Linked DNA regions of Astyanax mexicanus. The protein of the gene in region 2 purifies or fractionates together with the protein of the main gene of each other region. This does not show direct contact. Links are inferred from orthologs where the notes say so. Each region holds a gene or a part of one and is shown on either strand. Other genes may lie near its edges. The genes, in order: timm13, map3k14a and cad.

Evidence for each region.
Region 1: the proteins of map3k14a (region 2) and timm13 purify together in Homo sapiens (affinity purification with mass spectrometry; 3 studies listed by BioGRID and IntAct, with this or other methods). This does not show direct contact. The link is inferred for Astyanax mexicanus from reciprocal best matches to the Homo sapiens genes MAP3K14 and TIMM13.
Region 3: the proteins of map3k14a (region 2) and cad purify together in Homo sapiens (affinity purification with mass spectrometry; 3 studies listed by BioGRID and IntAct, with this or other methods). This does not show direct contact. The link is inferred for Astyanax mexicanus from reciprocal best matches to the Homo sapiens genes MAP3K14 and CAD.

What each region holds. Positions count from the first base shown.
Region 1 is NC_064423.1:26,851,073-26,854,828, reverse strand, and holds the start of timm13 (mitochondrial import inner membrane translocase subunit Tim13), read left to right. Parts: upstream 1-729; 5' UTR 730-871; coding exon 872-991; intron 992-2,293; coding exon 2,294-2,362; intron 2,363-3,075; coding exon 3,076-3,174; 3' UTR 3,175-3,756. UniProt on the Homo sapiens protein: Mitochondrial intermembrane chaperone that participates in the import and insertion of some multi-pass transmembrane proteins into the mitochondrial inner membrane.
Region 2 is NC_064426.1:23,748,200-23,751,955, reverse strand, and holds the start of map3k14a (mitogen-activated protein kinase kinase kinase 14), read right to left. Parts: upstream 2,377-3,756; 5' UTR 2,251-2,376; intron 1-2,250.
Region 3 is NC_064408.1:56,415,808-56,419,563, reverse strand, and holds the start of cad (CAD protein), read right to left. Parts: upstream 2,542-3,756; 5' UTR 2,211-2,541; coding exon 2,117-2,210; intron 1,436-2,116; coding exon 1,296-1,435; intron 1,212-1,295; coding exon 1,082-1,211; intron 673-1,081; coding exon 530-672; intron 1-529. UniProt on the Homo sapiens protein: Multifunctional protein that encodes the first 3 enzymatic activities of the de novo pyrimidine pathway: carbamoylphosphate synthetase (CPSase; EC 6.3.5.5), aspartate transcarbamylase (ATCase; EC 2.1.3.2) and dihydroorotase (DHOase; EC 3.5.2.3).

The DNA.
Region 1 (3,756 bases), on a different chromosome or scaffold from region 2:
TCCCTTAAACTCAGAACTCATAAACAAGCCTGAAAACAATATGTATGCCAGGTATGTATGTATTAATCAAATGTTCAAAGGTTTATTTTTTCTCCCTATTTCTTTGTCATACCTTGTAATGATGTGTGCAGCATGTATTGTAAGTGTTTCCTGTGGAAGATTTGTTCCAGTTTTTACGCGTAGAACAAAAAACACGTAGCTAATATATTGTCGTCTGAACAAAAACTTGTATGTCAAAAAGTTATGCTTTAATAAAAATTTCATTAATAATTTGTGCATTTTAATGGTTAATGCATGAGTACATTTTGTCATGAATACAGTCAGATACAGTACCAGATCTCCCTTCTTAGTTAATGTTTTTTTTCTTTATTTTTATTACTTTCTACATTTTAGACAGAGGTGTCAAGTAACTAAGTACAAATGCTTACCTTACCTAAGAATAAATATTGGTTAGCTATACTTTACTGGAGTAATAATTCTTCACACAATTATCTGTACACCTACTCCTCACATTTTCACAAAGTTATCTGTTAAAATCGCCTCGTTACTCCTCTTCCATTATTCTTACATTACATTACATACTAAATCCCAGTGTTACCTTAAAGAAGGAGCATTTAAAATAATGTTTTAGCTGAATCTGTGACTTAATAATTCGTCCTTATAAGAAAGTGACCCAGTCTGCTGCTGCAAAAAAGAAAGAAAGAAACTTCATTTCCCATAAACCCTCTGTCTGCGGAAGCAGTGTAAGCAGTTCCTCCGGTGCATCTGAAGGGCATTAGGGGAAACAGTCCATGTGAGAGCCTCACGGAGGGAGTAAAGCCGGATACAGGGCAGTTTTAGCGAATTAGGGTTTATTAATAAACACAGAAATATGGACAGCTTCGGTTCAGATTACTCCTCCGCGGCGGGGTCCGGGAAAATGGACACGGGCACTATAATGGAGCAGGTGAAGGTGCAGATAGCGGTGGCGAACGCTCAGGAGCTCCTGCAGGTAACAGCACAGATCACACGCTCAGGCTAAATAACCCAGCACTAGCCTAGCCTAGCTGCTCATTACAATCTCCACATTACAGATTAAATACAGCTAGTTACCCACAAAACAACTGCATCAGATAAGGTGGAACCAAACAGCCAATTGGGAAACAAACATATTAATCAAAGAGTAATGAGTCATTCATAGTCATTCATTACTGAAACCTCTGTTTCTCCTGAGCTGCTGTGCTCTAAATAATCCAGCAGTTAAAGGGGACATTCAAAACTCATTGAAACAGTACAGTAATGTAGTATACAGCTCTGGAAAAAGAATTAAGAGACCACTTCATTTTCTGAATCAGTTTCTCTGATTTTGCTATTTATAGGTAGATGTTTGAGTAAAATAAACATTGTTGCTTTATTCTATAAACTACAGACATTTCTCCCCAATTCCAAATAAAAATATTGTCATTAAGAGCATTTTTTTTGCATAAAATGAGAAGTGGCTGAAATAACAAAATATGCAGAGCTTTCTGACCTCAAATAATGAAAAGAAAAGTTTATATTCATAAAGTTTTAAGAGTTCAGAAATCAATATTTGGCGGAAAACCCTGTTTTTTAACACAGTTTTCATGCATCTTGTCATGTTTTCCTCCACCAGTCTTACACACTGCTTTTGAATAACTTTATGCCACCCCTGGTGCAAAAATTCAAGCAGTTCAGCTTGGTTTGATGGTTATGATCATCCATATTCCACTTGATTATGTTCCAGAGGTTTTCAATTTGGGCAAATCATAGAAACTCTTAAGCGGTAAATTTTATTTGTAAAGGAATACACTAACTAGGGGTGTGCCATATCGTAACATATATAATAATATCTCCATAATATTTGAATATCGTAAACAATATTATATTCTGCTGCTTTTAGCCAAAAAAAATAAATCTAATTTCTCGTTTCCCATTATAGCTACTAGAGATGAATTATATCTGATTTATTTTACTTCAGTCCTATATATATTTGGAGTGCAGTAGAAGTATCATCACTTCTTACCCACAAAGGGTTGGTTTTCAGGTTTTCATTCTAAAAAATAGCTGTAGACCTGATTCTATTTGTTATTAATTGGGCCTGTCTTTAAACAGATGACAGACATGCTGTGTTTCTGCTTGGCTGGAATAAAAACCTTCAGTGACACCAGCCCTTTTGGGGAAATAACTGGATAACTAACTTTGGTTTAAAGGTGTCCTCAGTCTGATATTGGCACACTTGTATTTGATTGTAGACCCAACCAAGGTATCGATTTGTTATGTATTATTTTCTCAGAGAATGACAGATAAGTGCTTCAAGAAGTGCATTGGCAAGCCTGGAAGCACACTGGACAATTCAGAACAGGTAGGAATCAGTTTTTCTCTTTTTTACTTGTGTATGTGTACATGCATATATGATACATTTATTCCTGCAAGGTTCACCATGACACAACAGATTTTGCATTTTTGTTTTATTGGGAAAAAGACAATTTTATTTTTCTACTTTTATGATTTCTAATTATAATAAATGCAGTCATATTATGCACTTTCACGGTCATTGACAAAAGCTGTTTTTTTTTTTATATATATAAATCAGCCATAGCATTTAAAACATTTTTTGTAATATTGTCATGCCACCAAACCAGCTCTGACCAGTCAAGGCATGGACTCCATAAGACCTCTGAAGGTGTCCTGTGGTATCTGCCACCAAGACATTAACAGCAGTCCTGTAAGTTGTGAAGTGGGCCTTCATGAGCATCAGTGAGCCTTTAGCGCCCATATCCCTGTCACCAGTTCACCGTTTCACGGTTCACTAACCTTCTTTGGAGCACCTTTTGGTAGGTACTGACAATTGCATCCTGGGTTCCCCCAATAGACCTGCCTGATGTTTTTGAGATGCTCTGACCCATTCATCTATCAGTCAGATTAGGCTTTTTTATGCTGACTCAGACCCTCATACTTGCCTTAAGTTTAAGAACTGACTATTCCCTTGCTTACTAGTGTATCCCACCCTCTTTTTCAATTTATTTACAGACGGTTTCTGAGTTTCTAAAATTGTTATTTTGTTTTTTTTTGCAGAAATGCATCGCCATGTGCATGGACCGGTATATGGATGCATGGAACACAGTCTCTCGCGCCTATAACTCTAGACTTCAGAGGGAAAGGGCGCGAATGTAATGCAGAATCCATCCAGTTGGACCTCAGTGTTAACCTGAATCCCTGGGTATAGAGGCTTGGGGTACCAGTGGATCAGCCCCGCCCCTGTAACACCCAGAACTGGAGAACCATCCAAGGAATCGGGAGATTCTGACTTTTAGACCCAAGTTATTTCCTTTTTCCCCCCCTTAGGCATGTTGAATGTGGGTGGACAGTTACACTCATGGAAGGTATTTGATTATTATATTGCTGTACAGAGGCAGAATAATCATTTCAGGTTTGGTTAAAATTGAGTTAGTATTAAGTCAGATGTTTGAGGATCAGGTTCATCTTGTGACACCTCTGCTACGTCAGAACTATATTTGTCTCAGTTAAACTGTTGTCACAGTTACTGCCTTTTGGTTCAGTAAGGCAGTGTATTGTCCTAGCCATGTCTGCACTGAAGAGTGTTGTGTAGCAGCTGTTTCCAACTGTTGGACAAGCTTTATAGAACATTGAACAGATAGAACAAATTGCATTCAGTCTATCCTGATTTCATTAAAATGTAATATGTTTTATTTTTTAAATGCACATGACCTGTCTTCTTACAACTTGGCAATGAAG
Region 2 (3,756 bases):
CGCAAATGTATTTGAATTTCAAATTTCTTTTAAATTTAGATGTGAAATAACAGTATTTCTTTATTCAGTATTGATTTATTTGTTTATATTTCAGATATTCAGTGTTGAACATTTTAGTGTGGGAATTTTCTGGCTGCTCAGGCAACATCTACTAAACACAACATACACACACTCACACCAAGGACACCTGCTTACACAGAGAAGCTAAAAATACAACATGGATACAAAGCTATATTCAGTTTACAATGTGGACTATGTCCATGCCAGTCATTATGCCAGCTACCTTTCAGGTTTTGCGTTCATAAAACAGCATCATATCCCATGTTATTAGTGCTCTATTATTGAGTCATTAGTGCAGTATAAATACAATTAAATTTATTCTGATAATAAAATAAATATTCCTAGCATCTCTGATGATAATCACGAACAAAAAAACATTCAAAAACTAATACGCTAAATGTGTTGCCTATATTAATCATATTTACATTAGTTTAGAAGCTGCTGCATATATCTGGTGTACTTTAATATGGTTTTATTTTTAAAATACAATTTTTGGTCATTTTTGTTAAGCTACTTCTGCACCCATATTGAAAAGAAGATGCTGAAAAGATATAGTGTACAAGTGAATCTCCAAAGAATTAGAATAGTATTGAAAAAATACTTTATTTCAGTAATTCAGTTAAAAAAATAAGCATTTATTTCTTTTATTGTTGATGATTATGGCTTACAGCCAATGAAAACCCAAAAATCAGTGTCTCCGTAAATTAATACATTATATAAGACCAACAGGGACTTTTGGCAGTTTGGGCAGTGTGCCAAGTCCTGCTGGAAAATGAAATCCGCATCTCTATAAAAGTTGTCAGCAGAGGGAAGCATGAAGTGTTGTAAAAATTTTCCCGGGAAAACACTGCACTGGCTTTGGACTTGATATAACACAGTGGACCAACACCAGAAGATGACATGACTTCTTAAACTTCAAGCAGTTTGGACTGTGTGTCTCTCCACTCTTCCTCCAGACTCTGGTCCCTTGATTTTCAAATTAAATTAAATTTACTGATGGTTAGTGATGGTTTGGAGAGCCATGCCATCTCCTGTTGTTGGCCCACTGTGTTATATAAGTCAGTGCAGTGTTTTCCCGGAAAAACTTACAGTTCTTCATGCATCCGTCTGCTGACAACTTATATGGAGATGTGGATTTTATTTTCCAGAAGGACCTGGCACACTGACCACACTGCCAAAAGTAACAACTGGTCTTATGTAATATTCAAATTTTCTGAGATACTGATTTTTGGGTTTTCCTTAGCTGTAAGCCATATAAGCCATAATCATCAGCAATAAAAGAAATAAACACTTAAAATAGATCACTCTGTGTGTAATACATCTATGTAACATATAAGTTTCAGGTTCTAACTTTTCAATGATACTCAATTTTTTTAGATGCACCTGCATAATAAATGTTGGGACCCAACATTGTTAATCTGTTTCAAACTAAAGTTAAAGAGTTGTTGAGTTGTTCAGAGTTGGTAGGGGAGGTGTAATTGTGTTGTAATCCAGGTAAGAGAGCAGGTGTGATGCTGCTCACCTTTCATGAACATCATTAGCAGGCAGGTCTTAAGGAGCCTGCAGTGAATTAGCGTTAGAGTTAACAGTTCAGGAAATGATGTCTTTCAAATGAAGGCCAAACGTTACACCCATAATTTGAACCAGGACAGCTAACCTATCTAAACATGTTTAACCCATAAACTACAGAACATATTCTTTAAATGCTATTTAATAAAACAGAACATTTAAACACCTAAACACAGTCGGTTACCTAGTTAGCTAGCTAATATTTCTGAGGTAAATGTATGCTAAGCTAACTACCTTAATTAGCAGTTAACGTTAACTGTTTTTGCACAACTTGGCTTCCTAATAAAGTAAAGCATTTCCTACAAAAACTCGCTAACCTAATAAAGCTAGGAAGCAAAAATGGTCAAAAAATATAAGTTTAAGACTCGGTTAAACAGCCAACCGTCCATAAAACTAACTTCAGCGCTGAAACAGAGGTTTACAGCCGAGTTCAGTCGAGGAGGGCTGAGCTAGCGATACAGCTGCTTCCACTTCCTCCTTCTTTAATCCGCCATTTCACTTATTAAACAAAACAGCTTTTCTCTCTGAAATAAACTCGAATAAAGTGGATTCCTCCGTCACCTCCAGCTCAGCGAACAGACACTGTACACACAATGAGTAGTGAAAGTGAAGTAAACTCACCGGTTAATGTGTGAGAAGTGAAGAAAACGCAGGCGAATGTCTCGTATGTGTGTCGTTGTGCTTGCGGTCTGAGAGCTGCTGCTGCCTCTGCTCGAGGTTCCTCCTCCTCCAGATACTCAGCAGAGCTTCAGCTCTGGGCTCTCTGACTGATATCAAAACCAGTATATAGACACTTTATCAATATAGAGCAGAGAAGTTAATAATTGTGACACTGTATTGGTCTTTACAAAATGCTAAATGCCTCTTCTGTATCAAAGAAATGCAGCAAAAAATGTATAACAACTGTTCAGTTCCTTCTGGCACATTTAGCTCATCATAGACTTTAAGTGTTTACATCCTGTGCATTATGGTGTTACACTGTATATACAGCTCTGGGAAAAAATAGAGAACACTTAAAAATGACGAGTTTCTTTGATTTTTACCAAATTGAAAACCTCTGGAATATAAATAAGAGCAAGATGGGTGATCACAAGCCCTCAAACCAAGCTGAACTGCTTTTGCATTATGTGTGGAATGAAGTTATTCAAAAGCAGTGTGTAAGACTGGTGGAGGAGAACATGCCAAGATGTGTGAAAACTGTGATTAAAAAACAGGGTTCTTCCACAATATATTGATTTCTGAACTCTTTATGAGATTTATTTACATTATTTGAGGTCTGAAAATTTTGCATCTTGTTTTGTTATTTCCGTCATTTCTCATTTTCTGCAAATAAATGCTCAAAATGACAATTTTTTTATTTGGGGGAAATGTTGTCCGTAGTTTATAGAATAAGACAACAATATTCATTTTACTCAAACATGTACTTATAAATAGCAAAATCAGATAAACTGATCTGTCTCTTATTTTTTCCATATACAGTGGATTTCAAATGTATTCATTCTTCTTTTAAGTTTTTCTCATTTTTTACCTTACAACCACACACTTAAATCTATTTTATTAATTTTAATTGTTAGAATTAAAATTATGCTTTCCAAATTTTATTCATATACAAATCTAAAAAAGTGTCACGTGGAAATAAAATCTACTGCAATTAATTGCCCTCAGAAGTCAATTTGTCAAATAGAGTCCAGTTGTGTGTAATTTAGCCTTGTAATTTAGAACGTGTTCTGTTCTGACCTCAGAGGTTTGTTAGGCTTACAAGCCTCATTCCACATTCACAAATATAAGTGACCTGTATCTGTGTGTAATGTAAACGAATCTGTCCCTGAAACGCCTCACATGTGCACATTGATACGTGTATAAATGTCGCCTTCCTCACCAACAACAAGAAAAACCTTTAAGAGACATATGTGAGAGACAACCCATTACTTAACTTTTTTAAGGCAACCGGTTTCCTCCATTTTTTTTATAATAAATTCAACTTATCTGGGCTTACAGTGTACCAAGAAATGGTCATCCACCCAAACTGACAGATGAAGTAATTATATATAAAGTAATTATATAATATATTTATATACAATATCATATCGCCTACCCCTAAACAAAAACTATATGTACACAAATGTT
Region 3 (3,756 bases), on a different chromosome or scaffold from region 2:
TTATAGCCCTTATGTCCTATGATCATAATGTAACAAGACTCCTCCTTAATCAACTTTTTTAGTTGCAAAGACAGCAATAATTTAATAGAATGTCATGATCAGTCAGACACGGATGTCTATTAAGATTTATTTGCTACTTTATTACTATACTACTTTTTAGGGATCAACTGGCTTTGGGTCACATAGATTCCTTACTATACTTTCTATATACAGCCCATATATTAAATGATTTAATGTAGGAACATGTATTTCCAAATGTTCAAACTGTTTTATAAAATGTTAATCCGTATAGGCAGCTATGTCCAAAAAGGCAAAACTATGCTGCACCCTGAATTGGGTCACTTGCTTCATGATTCTTTTGTTTTGGCATTCTGTATTTTCACAAAATGTAATGACATTCTATAATGTAGTGTAGTATAAAGTAAAATACTCAAGTTTGAAATGTACTGTGGTAAAAGGGAGGGAAAACAAATCAATGCTGATAATTTATGAAAAGGGTATACTGCAAATATTATTTGTCAATCCATACTTTTACGGACACTTCTTTCACCAAGTTCCGACTGTCAGGATTGTCAAACAGGATGTTCTCCGCAGGTGTCCCTTCAACCACAAGTTTTCCAAGCATGGTTCCCTTTTCTCTGATCTTCTTAGTCAAACAACGGGTGTCAACTCCTATTTTGCAAAAACATCAACAGCATGTAGAACATGGCAAGCAGGTTATAAAAAAAGCAGAGGGGCCAGACCTGCTTACTCCACTTAACATCACAATACATAGAAATCCACTATTGCAGAATAAATTAAAGCTATATTATGAGTATAACCTGCTTTTAGAGGAAAAGTCAGGAGCAGTCCAAATTTATTGATTCAATTCAATAGATAACTGAATAGCAGAGTAGAGTTCTGTTATGTAAATTAGCTTCTCTAACTTTATACATGTAAATATTAATGTTATTAGAAATTCAACATTCAAACCATGTTGCTTAATACTGATCTGGGTTTAATATAGTACAGTTACTAAAAGGCGCAGAGTGTCAGGGTAAAGGGATGCATGTATGTTCTTCAAGAAAACTTATTATCTTACCCTCTAGTCCTGGGATGCCTTGCTCTTTGAGCCACTGATCTAGAGATTTGACTGAACTCCAATGACTGGGATTCTGAGAAAGTTCACCAACAATAAGCGCAGTGGCGTGGATCCTAGAAGACTCAAACCACTACAGAGAAAAATGTTGAAAGAGTTAAATTGCTATTTGACAAGCAATTTGCCATAATTTAAAAATATGCAAATTATTATTCACCTTGCTGATGCCAAATTCACCATCCTCGTCACTGGGCACACCATAGTTCCCGATTAGTGGGTAGGTTAAAGTCAATATCTGAGATTTATATGAAGGGTCAGTAAGTGCTTCTGGATAGCCAACCATTCCTGTCTGGAAAACTGAAAAGGTGTAAAGACAGTTAATGTTAAAGATGATCACACTTTTTGTCCTACATGCATTCCTGCTTACTCAACAGATGTTTTAATAGAAAGCGTCATAAGTGAATTTAAAATTAAATGGGACGGACATTAGGTCTGTGCGCATTCTTATAAAACGTTTCGTACCTTAGCTAGAACACCTTTACACTGGACTTAGTTTCTTACAATATAACCAGAGTGGAAAACACTGTAAACAGAAACAGCTGGACTTATTTTATAACCACACTGGACCTGCCACAAACATCTAAAGAGTCGCGAGTTCAGGCTGGTCAGCTGTTTAGCTATATAAACTGATAAATAAAGCGTGGAAATACTGGATTTACTCATCATGTATGTTGCAAGATCATCTACTCTGATCTACAGATGTAAGAGTGCTGGTTATTTCTCTGGTCTCTAGGTATGGGGACAGGCTGTAGCTCAGCGGATGAGCGCGTCTGCTCGTCTTTCAACAATCCGGCGCGAAGGAAGGACACGTGGAGCTCAGTAAGAGCCCTCAGGCTAGCTACGCAGTTAGCATCGCTGCTGCTGCTTCTATCCTCACACTACAGCCGTTTTAGTGTGACAAGGGGCCACGACCGGAGTAAATCCGGCTATCAGGCCCCTCTGTAAACACGGTGTTCCGCCAAGCAACCAGCGACTTACCAACTTCACCAGATACCGAGGCACTGGCCCCGAACAGGCGGCCTTTAAACGTGGTTCCGTCTTCTAGGACCAAAGATGCCATTTTCGCCGACATATTTACAGCTAGTTAAAGCCTGGACACAGAGCGCTCAGCAGATGGGGTACTCTGGTGGTGGAGCAGAGTTTTTTTAACTGCCACGGCGTCGACTTTTCTCCTCTTTCGTGGAGACGATAGACCCACGTGATAATCGGTATGTGTGCGGCGGAGCGCTTTCAGCACACAGGAGGAGGAGGAGGTCACGACTGTGGACGAGTAGAGTCTTACGAAACTGTTCTCCTTTCCCGATGTCTGTAAAGAATAACGTGAAGCAGCAGCCCGAGTCCACACCGCCCTGTCCGGAGCCACAGCAGCGTGGAAACCCGCCGCCCCAGCGCAGCGCCTTAAATCTAGAGCCCAGCTCCGCGACACTCCGCCCCGGGGGAGGGGCGAAGAAAGACAGGCCCGGTAGTGATTTTTCATTCAGGAAAGAGCTGATTCTTTTCTGTTTCAACACAGTATCTTCAGATAACAACACAACAATATCTACTGGTTTCAACACTCAGTACACAGCTGTGCGAAAAAGCACTGCAGAAGCAACTGTTTTTATTCACCAATAGAACAGTCCACTCATACATTTGGTTTGGTTTGGTTTAGGATTATGAAAAAAAAATCCACAGATACGCGTCCACGGGTTTAAAATGCCCATAAACCTTTAGACAAAGACAACAATAGTTGTACACAATGAGTGTAATGAGTGTTCATTTCACAACAGGAGTACAAAATACAATTTTAGCTTTGTGTTAATGATGTTATTTTTTTTTTCTGAGCATGTGCTTCTTGACTCCGGTAAAGTTGGTTTCATATTCGCATATTCGGATTTCTTTCTTCAATAGCTTTTGAACTGTGTGTGCAAAATGGTTAATACTTGCTTATTTTATATGCTGACATCCAAAGCAAGCAGCTACAACGTCTTTCCCCTCTCAAACATCTGCCTTTAGAAAACCACAGAACACATTGTCGTCTATGGGCTGCCGCGACCTGCACGAGAGCTAAGGGACCGTCTACAAACTACTCGACACAGCAAAAAGGCGAATGAAGATGGGCGGGGCAAATGCTTTATGCTTCATTATATGAAAGTGTAGTGTACTTTAGTGTTTTTAGCTGGTCACAAATGACAAGACTTCAGGAGTTCCTGACAATATTTTTTTATAATAATTGTTTTGTTAAAAACAATCTAAAAATATAAAGGTTACACTCATTTTTTGTTCAATTTGTAACTGTTTTTAAAAAACCTTTTTAAAAAATATTTCATAAAGTATTTCATTCTGATTTTGTGACAAAGTTTCAACTGAGTATATATTTTATCAAATAATCACTTGTAGCCCATTTTGCAAGTCTTACTGTCATTTGACCTGCAGTTCAACAGAGGGCTTTCAGGGTTTCTTTTTCTGTTTTACTGTTGATAGTAATACTGTCATTGGTGGGTAGTAACCATTGGTTTGTTTAATTTTAGTTGAGTATACAGAACCGTAATTAAACCATGTAAGAATTGTCAAATGATAGTATTAAAAGGTTTACATTCTATTGTGACTACTTCTGAAATAAATATTATGAAATATAA